4 linked regions of the Danio rerio genome follow. The protein of the gene in region 1 interacts with the protein of each later gene in a biochemical or structural test. Links are inferred from orthologs where the notes say so. Each region holds a gene or a part of one and is shown in the gene's direction. Other genes may lie near its edges.

The links. The genes of interacting proteins can lie anywhere in the genome.
Region 2: the proteins of htt (region 1) and sh3gl3a form a complex in vitro, tested with the Homo sapiens proteins (2 studies listed by BioGRID and IntAct, with this or other methods). The link is inferred for Danio rerio from reciprocal best matches to the Homo sapiens genes HTT and SH3GL3.
Region 3: the proteins of htt (region 1) and hip1 form a complex in vitro, tested with the Homo sapiens proteins (2 studies listed by BioGRID). The link is inferred for Danio rerio from reciprocal best matches to the Homo sapiens genes HTT and HIP1.
Region 4: the proteins of htt (region 1) and prpf40a form a complex in vitro, tested with the Homo sapiens proteins (2 studies listed by BioGRID and IntAct, with this or other methods). The link is inferred for Danio rerio from reciprocal best matches to the Homo sapiens genes HTT and PRPF40A.

The regions. Positions count from the first base shown.
Region 1 is NC_133176.1:44,454,642-44,458,163, reverse strand, and holds part of htt (huntingtin), read left to right. Parts: intron 1-887; coding exon 888-1,008; intron 1,009-1,122; coding exon 1,123-1,182; intron 1,183-1,510; coding exon 1,511-1,590; intron 1,591-2,998; coding exon 2,999-3,137; intron 3,138-3,522.
Region 2 is NC_133182.1:12,829,421-12,832,942, reverse strand, and holds part of sh3gl3a (endophilin-A3a), read left to right. Parts: intron 1-863; coding exon 864-932; intron 933-1,031; coding exon 1,032-1,104; intron 1,105-3,522. UniProt on the Homo sapiens protein: Implicated in endocytosis. May recruit other proteins to membranes with high curvature.
Region 3 is NC_133190.1:19,379,285-19,382,806, reverse strand, and holds part of hip1 (huntingtin-interacting protein 1), read left to right. Parts: intron 1-613; coding exon 614-721; intron 722-3,358; coding exon 3,359-3,495; intron 3,496-3,522. UniProt on the Homo sapiens protein: Plays a role in clathrin-mediated endocytosis and trafficking. Involved in regulating AMPA receptor trafficking in the central nervous system in an NMDA-dependent manner. Regulates presynaptic nerve terminal activity.
Region 4 is NC_133184.1:4,717,598-4,721,119, forward strand, and holds part of prpf40a (pre-mRNA-processing factor 40 homolog A), read left to right. Parts: intron 1-1,285; coding exon 1,286-1,423; intron 1,424-3,372; coding exon 3,373-3,468; intron 3,469-3,522.

The DNA.
Region 1 (3,522 bases):
GATTATCGTGAAAAAATATCGCTTTAAGGGGCTAATAGTTTAGTCCCTAAAATGGTGTTTACAAAAATTAAAACTGCTTTTATTCTAGCTGAAATAAAACAAATAAGACTTTCTCCAGAAGAAAAAATATTATCAGACATACTGTGAAAATGACCTTGCTCTGTTCAACATCATTTGAAAAAAACAATGTTTAAAAAAGAAGAAAACAGTTTGAAGGGGGCTAATTATTCTGACTTCAACTGTATAAACTACAAACAAATCTAGATAAATAATGAAAAAGCCAGTAACATTTCTTTTAGTTTTATTTCTTCTTGAAATTCTTGATTACGTCCTGAATACACATAGAGAAGATAGATCCAGTTTATGGTGATCTTGATGGGTTTGTTTTTATTAGTCTTAGTCTTTTTGGCATAACTGTCCATGCAGCCCTGCCACATCCTTGTTTTTCAAGTAGCATTTCCTTTTTCTGCCGCAGCTTGTATCTTGTAGCTGTCAGTTTTTGATTGAGGGTAATTGGGGTGATTGTAACAGATGTACTAGATGTACTAGACCAGGGACGAGGGTTGCAAATTAGCTTTATGCTATATTCCCTATGTACACAACATCGGTTGACTTTGTAAAACAATGTCAAGTGTATTGTCTCTGTTAAATAAACAAGCAAAAAAAAAAATGAACAGAGGAAAAGACCACAAACAGATGAATATTCTTTCCCTATTTTCTCCAATTATATTCTGGATCTCTGGGCCTAGAAAAATAGCTGATTTTAAATTGCTAAACATACTGTAATGTATTTATTTTGACTCACTGTTCATTTCGAAGCTGTGACCAATAATTTTAGCCTTCTAGTGTTGTTAGCTATGTATTTAATTACACTGATTTGTTATCAGGACGTCTCCAGAGTTCCAGAAACTTCTTGGAATTGCCATGGAAATGTTCTTGCTGTGCAGCGATGACAAAGAGTCTGACGTCAGGATGGTGGCCGATGAGTGCCTCAACAAAATCATCAAAGTAACTCATTTGTAGTTTACATATCTGACATATATTCAATTGGATGATGATTGTAGTGGTGTTTTTTTTTTGTTTTGTTCAATGGTAATATAATTTCTTTGTTTATCTTTGCAGGCATTGATGGATTCCAACTTGCCTAGACTACAACTTGAACTGTATAAAGAGATTAAAAAGGTAAATCAGACTCAATAAACTTTTTGTAATGAATGTTTAATTTATTAGGAGTTCTTTTGTAAATGCATGTCAGTGTACTGAACTGGAGTTCTAGGATTACGTTGTGTGGCTGATTTATATTTAAGTTACATTTTTGTTGCACTTTTGTTGTTAATTTGCGATTTATCTGCAACAATATTTGATTATTTGATTGGTTTGATTATTGTTTTTGTTTTTAGTAAAATTTTTTGGGGGAAATGCTATAAACTTCACAGGCACATGAGTCTTGTGCTCTTTAAGTAAATGTACAGCTCACTAATGGATCACTTTACTGTGTGTGTGGTAACAGAACGCTGCCTCTCGGAGTCTGCGGGCAGCCCTGTGGAGGTTTGCAGAGCTTGCTCACCTGGTGCGTCCACAGAAATGCAGGTATGCTCAACTTTTGGTCACTTACTTCTAGTAGACTGGTCAGGACCCAATTATTGTGGAACATTGTGGGAACAATCATAGGACTAGCTCAAAACAAAGGAATGTAGTTTACTGCAAACGTGGAATTTGCCAAATTAAAGATAAATAAATTGAAAGTAGGGCTTCACTCTTAAATTGCAGTCTTGACTAGTGCTTGTTACTTTTAAATTTACTATGATCTTCTATGTGAAACTGCTTTGACACAATTTACATTGTGAAAGCGCTATACAAACAAAGGTGAATTGAATTGAATTGCATTGAATTTAAACAATGAAAAGACTTTTTAAATTTGATGTTGCAGAACAGAGTTCATTCCATAAGTATTTCATATTTTAATTTGAGAACGCATGACGTATATAAACAGAAACTGTTATTTTCAGAGTGTCAAAATAAAGGTTTGGTTTGGAGGTATTTTGGTTTTGGACTATTGTTCTGTTGAACGCACCCATTCATTCAAAGTAATTACAACAAAAAATGTTCAGAGATTTTATAGACTTAAAGGGATAGGTCACCCAAAACTGATTATTCTGTCATCATTTACTCACTTTTTTCTTGTTCCAAACCTGTTTGAGTTTCTTTCACCTGACAAACACAAATTAAATTTTTTGAAGAATGCTAAAACCTGTAACCATTGACTTCCACAGTAAGTAAACTAAGTAAACTATTCCCTACTATTTTCATATTTTCTAGATAAAATATTATATTTTGTGTTCAATGAACACTTGAGGAACATTAGATAGGGAATATATGTTCATTTTTGGGTGAACTGTCTCTTTATGTGTATTTTGTTTAACACAAAAAAAAAGCTGCAATTTATTTTTTACTTTTTCCATTAAAATGGAAATAAACCAAATTTTGTACTAGTATATGAATTTAAATACATATTTAGATTAAAGTTGAATTCCATTTGTATGTAATATTGTGGTGTTTATTCTACATGATTTATCTATGCACTTGATTATGTTTTTAAATATTAATGTGTCTTTATAATGTCTACCTTTCATGTGCCATTGGTCTTGTTGTCTGTCTTTATCTTGGTCATAGCAGGTAAATAGTTTGGTTTAAATAAATTTTCCTTCAATTGAACTCTTAAATTTTTAGCAACATAGGGCTCAAATAAAAATAAATAATAAAATAAAGCATGTGAAGGTGCCAGAGGTAAGTCGCTTTAGAGTAAACTGAGTATATTCAAATCTGCCTCAATTCTGCTGTATTTCCATTGATCAAGTCAGTTCCTGAAGAACATCACTATAGCGAAGAAAAAATCATTGCAACTTCTGTTTCATGCTGATCTTAAGCTGTGACATGCTTTTGATTGTAAAGATAAGCAAACACAATAAATCCTAACCCTCATTGTCACCTTTCCCAGGCCGTACCTTGTGAACCTGCTACCATGTTTGACACGAATCACAAAACGTCAAGAAGAGACTGTGCAGGAAACTCTCTCTTCTTCAATTCCTAAAATCATGGCTGCCCTCGGACACTTTGCCAATGATGGAGAGATTAAGGTATGAGCTGAAAAAGTAGCATTTCCCAAGGTTATCATGTGTTTACTTTATTTTAAATTTGGTCAAAGTAAAACATTTCAGAAGACCACATCAGGCGATTTGCAATAAAATGTACCTTGATTCAAAAGTCATTAGTCATTCTGGATGGCCTTATGTATTTGACATGAAAATAAGATTGCCTTGCTACTGAATTCTGTGATTTGGCACCTGAGTGAGGGATTTCCCTCACCGTTATCTTGACTGTCTGATCTGAAGCCGTAAATGCGCAGTGGTGACATCATCTCCTCAATATGGAACATGACTCACTCAGGCTGGATTTAATTATCCATGAGCCTCTTCTCCCTCGCATCAAGAGACGGAAAGAGTCTGTATTCTTGCCAAGAAC
Region 2 (3,522 bases), on another chromosome or scaffold:
AAAAGTTAATTACAGATGTAATTACAAACATGTATTTAATCAAACAAAAGTACACAGTAAAAACATGTATTTACACAATAAGTACATTGTAGCAAACTATTAATTCCTATGTAAGTACATATTAGTTAAGGCTACTTAATATAAAGTGGGACCTAATATAATATAATATAATATATTATAATATAATATAAAATTATATAAAATTATATATAAAATAATTAAAAATAATATAATATAATGTAATGTAATGTAATATACAATGATATAAAATAACATGATATAAAATAATTAAAAATAATATAATATAATATAATATAATATAATATAATATAATATAATATAATATAATATAATATAAAATAATTAAAAATAATATAATATAATATAAAATGATATAAAATAATATGATATAAAATAAAAAAAAATAATATAATATAATATAATATAAAATGATATAAAATAATATGATATAAAATAATAAAAAATAATATAATATAATATAAACTAGAAACTCGACACAGAGACACATTAACACCTCACTGCCAACTAGCGTTTTGAAAGTGTTAATGCAGACCAACAGACAGCGAGCAGAAGTATAAATGCACAGCTACGCGTGTTGCATGCGCCGTTGGTTACGCCGGTCACTTGACGCAGAAGTATAAACCAGGCTTTACACAAAAGCTAAATTTGGATCTGTGATGTCGGGTATCGTTTCTTCACTGTAAGCCACAATAGAAGCTCATTATTGATTTATTTTTTCTTCCGACCACTGTATTGTGTGCACAGGAAAACATTGCCTAATATCACTGCTTCCTGTCCCTGATCTAATATCTCCATCTCTCTCTCTCTTTCTCTCTATGTAGTTATTAAGTGAGAAGATCAGTGGTGCGGAAGGGACGAAACTCGATGAAGACTTCATGGAAATGGAGCGGGTGAGAACTGCACAAATGATCCCCTCTTTCTTAATGTGATTTACAGTATGTGAGAAGCATATTTACCATTATCCACATGATCTTTTCCCACCTTTACAGAAAATAGAAGTCACCAACAAGTCTGTTTTTGAACTCATAACTAAAACCACAGAATATCTCCAACCAAACCCAGGTATGAATCACAACATCAGCATTCACTTTGCACTAACAATGCATTTACAGTGTGAACACCATCCGGTTTTACGAATTTCTACAACAAACAAGCGCATGTCCCACAACATTCTGTCACTCGATGACACCTGAATACCCTGTCAGAAAAGTGTAGTGGCTGGGAATGACCCTTTTACAGTGTCTGGTATAATGTTAATATTGTTTTTGGTGCGTTTACATAGATGAATATGACCACAGTGTAAATACACAGTACAGTTACGAGCTTATTGCCACCTTTATATCGTTATGATAACATGATATCGTTGCCTTCAGTGATTCTCTGAAGATAAATACCAAAAAATAACTCAACTGGAATAACAACAGCAGTCATGATCATCAATCTCATATGAAGCTACAGATCGCGAGGACATATGATGACGTGCGGAGGTGTTGTGGTGTCCCATTTCTTCACACAAGGGCCAAGGGGAAGGGGTAAGGGGTACAAAAATAGAATTGGGATTGGGCCTTACAAAACATGTCAACTTCGACACTTTTTAAAAACTTTCTTAACAGCAAAAGCTGTTGGAGTAAAGATCAATTTCCCACAATGCATTTCAAAAGCTTCAAAAAACGAAGAAAAGGAAAACATAAATCTCAAAATACAGAAAACTATTAATTTGTGTATATTTTTTACAAATTAAGGGACGATGTTTATCGAAAGCATTCGGAGGTGCACCGCTCTGCCTCTTTTTGTTGACAAGAAAAAAATAAGTGTGCTGCGAATTTAATGTTGCTAGGCAACCACTGAATCAGCTGCGTATTGTGCGCGGGCGCTGCTGCTGGTATTGTAATATATTAAAAATATTGTGATATTCACGATTTGTGAAGTCATACAGCTCCGGATAACTCGAAACATCGGCCACTAGTCTCTTGTCCATCTATAAAAGTCTTCGTTGTCGACTTGACAACACAAACAATATGCAATAAATGATCAGCAGAAACCCGCCTCTGCTTTCATTTGATTGGACAATGAAAAAAGACATGACTGACTAATGGGAAAAACGCACGCAACAGCAAGCAACTGGTTTAAAAACTATTGAAAAATCATTATTTATTATTATTATTTTTTTGTATTTTGAATTTTGATTTCTAAAGTGCATATTAAAAGCTCCTAAAATCAATAAAGACAATATATATATATATATATATATATATATATATATATATATATATATATATATATATATATATATATATATATATATATATAATCACATATATATATATATAAAAATGTTCAAAAATCATTGCAAAAAGCATGTTTGGTGTGATTAAAACCTAAATGTAGTTGTGTTTTTTTCACATTGCCTGAAAATGGCTTTAATAATACGAAAAAAAAATCATTAGTCATCAAATGCAATGTTAAACACATTATACGGCATGATCTTTGCATGTTTTTATTTGACTTTGCTTGCTTTTTAACGTGTTTTTGGTTTGAATTTAATCAACAGTGGTGTTTTGTTGTTAGCTAATGTAATGATTGTGTCCATTTCCACCAGCTTGACCCATTCGGCCTGATGTGTGGACCTGTTTGAACATGACTGTAGCTTATTATCTTATTAAACTGATTATATTGCTCAACGAGAACACAGCCTCCTCCTGAAACTTGATCACTGTGTTGCACAACATTGCTTTATGCTTGCATCAGAGGTTTGCAATATGGTCAAACATGATATAGTAACAATTAGGGCTGCACAATACATCGTTTCACTATTGACGTCGCAATGTGCTCATCTGCAATAGTCACACGTTTTGATTTGTATATATAGTTGGTTTTAGCACCACAGAGCACATCATTTGTGGAGTTACTACAAAGGTTTAATCATATTAGAGTTTATCGTTCGCATGGATTGTTGTAAGACATTTGATCTCTGTTGAACACAAAAGAAGAGATAAAAACTCGTAATCATTGACTTTCATTGAAGAAAAAAAACAAATACTGTGGAGTCAGTTTCCAAACGTTTCCAGGTGTCTTCAAAATATCTTCTTATGTGTTCAACAGAAATAAAGAAACTCATAAATGTTTGAAACAAGGGCAAGTAAAAGATGATTTATATCAGGGGTGTCCAAACTCTGTCATGGAGGGCCATTGTCCTGCATAGTTTAGCTCCAACTTGCCTCAACACACCAGCCATGATGTTTGTAGTATATCTTGTAAGAGCTTGATTCGCTGGTTCAGGTGTGTTTGATTAGGGTTGGAGCTAAACTCTCCAGGACACCGGCCCTCCAGGACCGAGTTTGGACACCCCTGATTTATAAATATATAAGTGAACTATTTATGTTGACTGTCTGTCTATTTAACATACAGTGGGTATTAATGTGCATAAAAGTTGAAAATTAACGTTAAAGTGTCAAGTAAAATTGTAATTTCATGTTGGTA
Region 3 (3,522 bases), on another chromosome or scaffold:
ACAAAAAGTAATCTAATTTAAGGTGGTGTCATTTAATAATAGCTTAAAAGCTTTTTTTTCCCAGTAAAAGACACTTTACCAAAACACAGACAATTTTTGTAAAAAAAGAAAAAAGCTGTAAACTGCTAACCAAAGCATTTTAGGCCTTAGTATTGTTTAAATGATAATTTTACACTCAGTCTGAGCAAAGTGTATCATGAAACAAACGTTCTGAATCAGTAAGTGGTCCTAAACAGTCTGGCTGTTGTCTGAGCTCCTATGCTGGTAAGGGTGTGCAATACATATAGTGACACATATATGATGTGTTATTTTGCAATGTTACGCCACTGACTGTTGGGAAAAATAGTTAACACATCTGAAAAATTGAACAATCCACACAGTTTTGAAAACAGCCATGCTATCATCAACTACTGAAAACTTTCCTACTCCCTGTTTTTGCTTTGTATTTAGCTCAAAAATATACAACTAAATCCTTTACCAGTAAAGCCCTGAGCACCATGAATGCATTCAGACTTCGTTTCATCACTTTTGTTGACACTTAATTCCTCAATTGAGATGAGAAACGCTCATATGATCCTGTTGTAACACTGATTTTCCTGTCTGTGTGTAACAGATGTGTCTGGACTGGTGCGGGCAGTGACTCAGTTTGCTCACCTGGTGGGCGATGTCATCGTGCAGGGCAGCGCCACCTCCCACATGGTGCCAGTGGAGCAAGCTGACGGTGAGCATGACACATTTATCATTTCAACACCTTCCTATTCAGGTTTACATCATGTAATCACATCAAAATGCAAAACGAATGCATATTTATATGCAAATGCTTTATCGAAAATATATAAAGGGCAGTATCTGCCTAGCTCATGTTAATCTCGAGTACCTATAGAGTAGAACTGCATCATTCATATCTTTGACGAGTCTTTCATTGAGCAATATTTGCAAAAATTACAGCATCACATGTCTATGTGGGATTTACTGTAATCATTTGCTTGGTCGTAAACGACGAAGTCTCCTTTCATGATGTCATCGTATATTTTTCTGCATTTGTCCATTGTAAAACATCTACATGTGGGTAGTCCAGTGCAATGTCAATTTAAGTAGTAAACATTTGGTGGTCAGCTAAACAAAAATATTTAAACACACATCGTGGGATTATGCCTGAGTAACGTTTGGTCAACTTTACAGTATGTTTGTGTTGTTTATAAAGCTGTGGTGAAAAATAGTTTTGAGAAATCGAATTTGGGTTGGCGCCAATAGCTTAGAGGTACTGTGTTCTGACATACAGTATATAGCAGAGTGCTCATGCCGGTGACCCTAGTTTGATTCCCAGCTCAAGGTCCTTTGCCGATCCTTCCCCTCTCTGCTCCCAATGCTTTCCTGTCTGAAATCTCCCCTATTCTATATCATAGTAATGGTAAAAACTTAGCGATTTTTTTTTTGGACCTGTACTTAGTTTTTAACAGCAGATGGCTTTCTAGGCTAGTTTTTTAATTATAACATTAATCATACACTGAAATTCTCATGAAAAGCTCTCAGAAAGTTGTTTTTTTATGTCAGGTGTTAACGTAAACAGCTAACTTCAAACACACTTGTAATTCACTTGAACCAAAAATAATTATTCATTAAGTTAGCAAAGGTTTAAGTGGTATTTGTAAGGAACTGAATGCAAGCTGAGTATGGTTGTTCGTAAAGCATACAGCAGCATCTGCTATTAAAAAATAAGCTCAGAATCCATTCAAGCTAGAAAAACTGTGTAATTTGCTGTTAAGTGTCTAAAGTACTGAAAAGTGTCGTCAACACTTTTCTAAACACATAATAGTTTTAATAACTATCTCTAATAACTGATTTATTTTATCTTTCTAATAACTGATTTATTTTATTATAACATTACTAATAACTGATTTATTTTATCTTTACCATGATGACTGACTGTACATATTATTTTACTATATATTTTTCAAGACACTTCGATACAGCTTAAAGGAACATTTAAAGGCTTAAGTAGGTTTGTTAGGTTACCTAGGTAAAATGGAGTTTACTTTCATTCTCTCATTCACAGTGAAATAGGGGCTTCTGCTGTAAGTGTCAGTGGAAGAATGTCCAGCAAACACACATGCAGTGAAATTGTGCACAGTTTCTGCGTTTTTAAGAAGTTGGAGCATTTTAAATACTCGCGCTTGCCTCCCTCGCCATAGTAAGCTACGGCGACATGGCGCATATGAGATAAATGATGTTCATAAATGATGTACATAATAACCAGTTATGATCATTACTGAACCATACCAAATTGTCCTTATCTGCATCACACCAAAGACACAATTATTTTGACACCCCAAGTATTTACCATGGTATGTATTTTTCTGTCATTTCAAAATTTATTTTTACTTTGTGATAGTCTTTTAATCAATATGTTAATGGGAAAGTATGTGTGTGTGTGTGTCCAACATTTTGGTGAATTACATTTGTTTGAGTTTGTTATAAATTTGAAAATGATCACTTTTGCGATGACAAGGCTCCATTTCAATAGCTCAAGATGCCATCTGGCGGTAAGGGTAAATGATTAGCAGCAGTTTTCCATCCCATTGGATCTCATTTTTTAAATAATCAGTCCAGGAGGTGGCGCCGATCAACAGCAGTATCAGTTCAAAAGTGTTCAAAGCAAGTAAAGTAGATTAAAACTATCGTTTCAAAGCGATCATTACGCATCAAGCATCCTCCTTACGCATACACGCAAAGCATAATGGGAAATTTTGCGTTCTAAGAAAAAGGTCTATTGGCTTGCTCTAGTAATCTGACGAATTAACTCACCTCTCAGATCTAAAGACAACACTCATGACAAAACTGCTGAGTTTGTCAGTTTTTGGGGTCTCCCAACACATTTCTATTGTGGTCTGTACTATTTGCAGCATGTTTCTGTATTTGCATGTGTTGTGAGAATTTGTGTAGGTCTATTATCAAAATGATACTTGTAGCACATTTGAGCTATGTCAACTACCCTTTTGATATAAGTAGCATAATTGCACTCACTAAAATTAAAATGCTAAATATTTTAAAACCGCACTGTATTATCACGTAGAGACGTCCAAGAAACTGACTTTGTTTAAGTTGCTCTCCATACATCACAAGGGTCATTCCAATCATTGTGGTTCTGTTAATAACTGGCCGCCGGGGGTCTGGGGGTTTGGTTTCAAGTTGCTTTTAAAGAGCATGGCATAACTCAAAGCGACTAATGTGCTGTGCCCACGTGCACAATGCAATCATGTCATTCATTGCAGCAAATGTGTCTGTTGGAGCGTATGTGGAGTGTCTGCAGGTGACAGATGGCTAGTCTGACTGCTTTCTGCTTTTTGTCTGTGGGCAGCATTGGCAGACAGCGTGAAGGCGTGTGGCGCAGAGGCCCTGACGCTGCTCTGCCAGCTCAAGGAGCAGGAGTCTATGGGGGCGGCAGACTGTAGTCGGCTGAGGACGGCACTAGATTCTGTCAAGGCCTTGGGCGAGGTGAGAGTCAGTCTGGGTTTTAGTTTA
Region 4 (3,522 bases), on another chromosome or scaffold:
CATTGGTGATCCGTTTGTCAATGCTATAAGCCTAAAAACCAACAAAAATAGTAATTCAATTTATATTCAAGACTCAAATATACAAGCATTCAAAGATTTATACGATAAATAACTAATGTTTGAGTTAATTGAATTTACAATTGAGTTAAATGTTAAACATTCTCTGATGTAACACTAGTGGTGTAACATTCCACTGATGATTTCAGATTTGAGTTTCTGTACACCTGTACAAAACATACTGTCAATGTTATCTGACAATAGCAAAGCTTTAATATGATGTATCATTTGTAATTCAGAAATGTAAATATTTTCTTAATGTCCTCATGTTGTTTCAAACCTAAGATTTTCTTTTTTCCAAACCCAAATATATAAATATTTTTTATGATACCTGAGTGATTTCTGTCTCTCCATTTAATGTCCTTTTTCCTAAAACAGCCAAAAATCCAATTGGTAGGTTCTTTGTAATTTGTATCAAATTGTGGCTTCTTAACTACTTGACGGCATTTGAAAAGCACATATTTTGCCCCTTTTACAAGATGTAAGATAAGACGTTGTGCCTCCAGAATGTGTCTGTAAAGTTTCAGCTCAAAATACCCATCAGATTATTTATCATGTACTGTAGCATCTGCCCATTTTAGTGTCTGAGGACAATAGAGCAGTTTTTTTGTAGCCTTTAACTGCAAATGAGCTGCTTCTCCCCGCCCACCGCTCCGATGTGCATGTCTGCTTTTCATGCGTTACGTCAGATAAACGGCAGTCAGTGACAGAGACAGACACTGATGAAGCTGAAATGAGGTTACTAGTCAAAAATACCAAATAAGTTTATTTGATGTATTTGTGGTGGAGCTTATTCAAGCCTTTCTGAAATGATGAGTCACACACAAATGCTGTTTTCATTACACACACAAACACATGCGCCGTGTGGCCGTGGTGATTATAGCAGTGGTGTATAGCAGCGAAGTGGTTACATGGCGATTTTACTCTATTTTTACTTTATTTTACTCAATTTTACTTTATTACAAACATGTAGTTTTACAAATCTTTTAAACTTAAAAAACTAATTGTTAATCCCAGTTTCCTTGCAAAAAAATTGTCTTGTTTACAGAAATAGTAAGTCAAAATAAAGTGAGTTTTTCTTTTAAAACAAGTAAAATAATCTTCCTCTGGGGTAAGCGAAATAAACTTGTCTTCTCTTAGGAGTAAGCTTATTTTACTTAGCCCATGACATCAGCCACGTTTAATGTATACGTATAACGTATAACTTTTGATGTGTTTGTGTTTTCAGTTGCTCGAGAAGGCTGAAGCACGAGAGCGGGAGAGAGAAAAAGAGGAGGCCAGAAAGATGAAGAGGAAGGAAGCGGCGTTTAAGAGCATGTTAAAACAGGCCACACCCCCTCTAGAGCCCGAGGCCACGTGGGAGGGAGTATGTCACACTTTACATTACTATACAACAGTTTCATACAGGGGTGCACATAAGATAAGATGCGCAGCTAGAGAAGTACTTTTCTGTACCCGATTTCATAAATTTCACAGATTTTTCCAAATTTTCGGCTGCTGAGAATTATCATCTAATAAGGGCATTTATGGGTTCCTGTTGAAAAATAAAAATATGAGTAAAATTCAGTGACCATTTTCAGAGAAAAATACTAGATGTAGAAAGCAAAGTAGCTTAGTATTTGGCTCTGTAGATCTCACAGCCGCATGATAACATGTCATCACTGTAATTGTTCTTCAGTGTGTAACAGCAGCACTATGTTTGTCATTTGGTATCATGATTGCCTTAGTTGTTTACTATTGCGTCATATTACACACCCTGCCATTCAAACTGAACCGCTCCATGTCAGGTAAAGTAACTTACAAAGAAGAGCTGCCTCTCTTGTCTTTCACTGTTCAGCAGCAGAAGTGCAAAAACATATCAACAGGGATTGTTTTCCCTTAGCTTGAAACGACCACTAGCATAGTTAACCGACAGCAAGAATGGTGACAGACATCATGGTTAGAATGTAATTGAGATCATTATTGATTGTATTAAAAATATGCGTGAGTAAAGAATTCTACTAAATAGTCATGATTAAATTGTCAGCAAATGTTTTTTGTTTAGATATATCAATAAATATCTAAATAACAGTATCTCTAAATAACAATACAAATCTTAAAGCAGTAAAATTATAACCAAAAAAAGTTGAAGTCCGTGGAAAATTAAACCTTTTCCTGGTGATGTTGCAGTTTGGGGAATACTATTAATTTAATAATGTATTTTTTTTTTTTTTACAATTTAAAATGTTGAAAACTTTTATTTGAGTTTATTTTTTAAATCTGTACAAAAAAAAAAAAAAAACAGTAATTGGTCTTGACAAGACACACTTAACTTAATACAAGAAATTGAAATCGGCCAAGAAAATTGTAAAAAAAAAAGTAATAATTAATTATAACAGCATTTTCTTTTTCGAGTGCATCAGGAATTTTTATTTTTGGCTCAATTTTAATTTTGGTGCATACTTATTTAATTTTGCTGCGATTCAAATTGCGCAGCTCATAGCACTGTATGTAGACTCTTATTTGGAAGAAGAATGTAAAATAAAGTTGGTCTCTGTGGGCATGGATGGAGTTGCTGCGCTTGCAACAACATGTGTATCATGATATGTGTTCCTATCACACCAAATGACGGATGTGAGCTGCTGTTTATCATGTATGGATCGTCTCGCCTTCCACACTGCCCACCACAGGGACTCTAAATTGCCAGTGCCCTATGCACTCTGTCACCCTTTTCACTAGGGCTGCACAATAAATCGCTTCAGCATTGATATATCTATGTGCACATCTGCATTAGTAACATTGCAAGATATGCAATGTTGAGTTTGAATTATAATACCAGGAGCTACAGAATTGTATTTAATTACTGTATTTACAAGCAACTTATACTATTTCTGCAAAAAAAAAAAAAAAGTCTTGTTTCTTGTCCAAATATCTACATTTCAAAGCGAAAAACAAATATATTTTACTTGCTTCATTGGTAGATATTCGATTCAATATTTTTACTGCTCTAATTTTTTTTAATATTTGGATTAGAAACGAGACAAAGCAAAGTTTGCATTGTGATTATTTAATTTCTGTTCCTAAATATTGTTAGACATCTCAGAAAACTGTCCAATAAAGCTCTTGTGAAGCTATTTATATCGCAGTATTTATTGCAGAAAAATAAAATATCACCCATCCTTTTCAGTTTAGTAGTGACACCCTAAGCAACATCTCCTGGTACTTTGATAACTGGACCAAACAAAGTGATGTGCACCCCTGGTTATGAGCTCAACTTGATCCTTTGGCCTATTAGTATTGCTCTGCTAATGATGTGTGTGTATTATGCTGGGTCAGGTACGAGAGCGCTTCCTAAAAGAGCCTGCTTTTGAAGACATCACGCTGGAGTCCGAGAGGAAGAGAATATTCAAAGACTTCATGCATGTTCTAGAGGTATGAATGTTATATGTTTAAAATACTTGGGATGGGTCAAATTATTATTTTTTT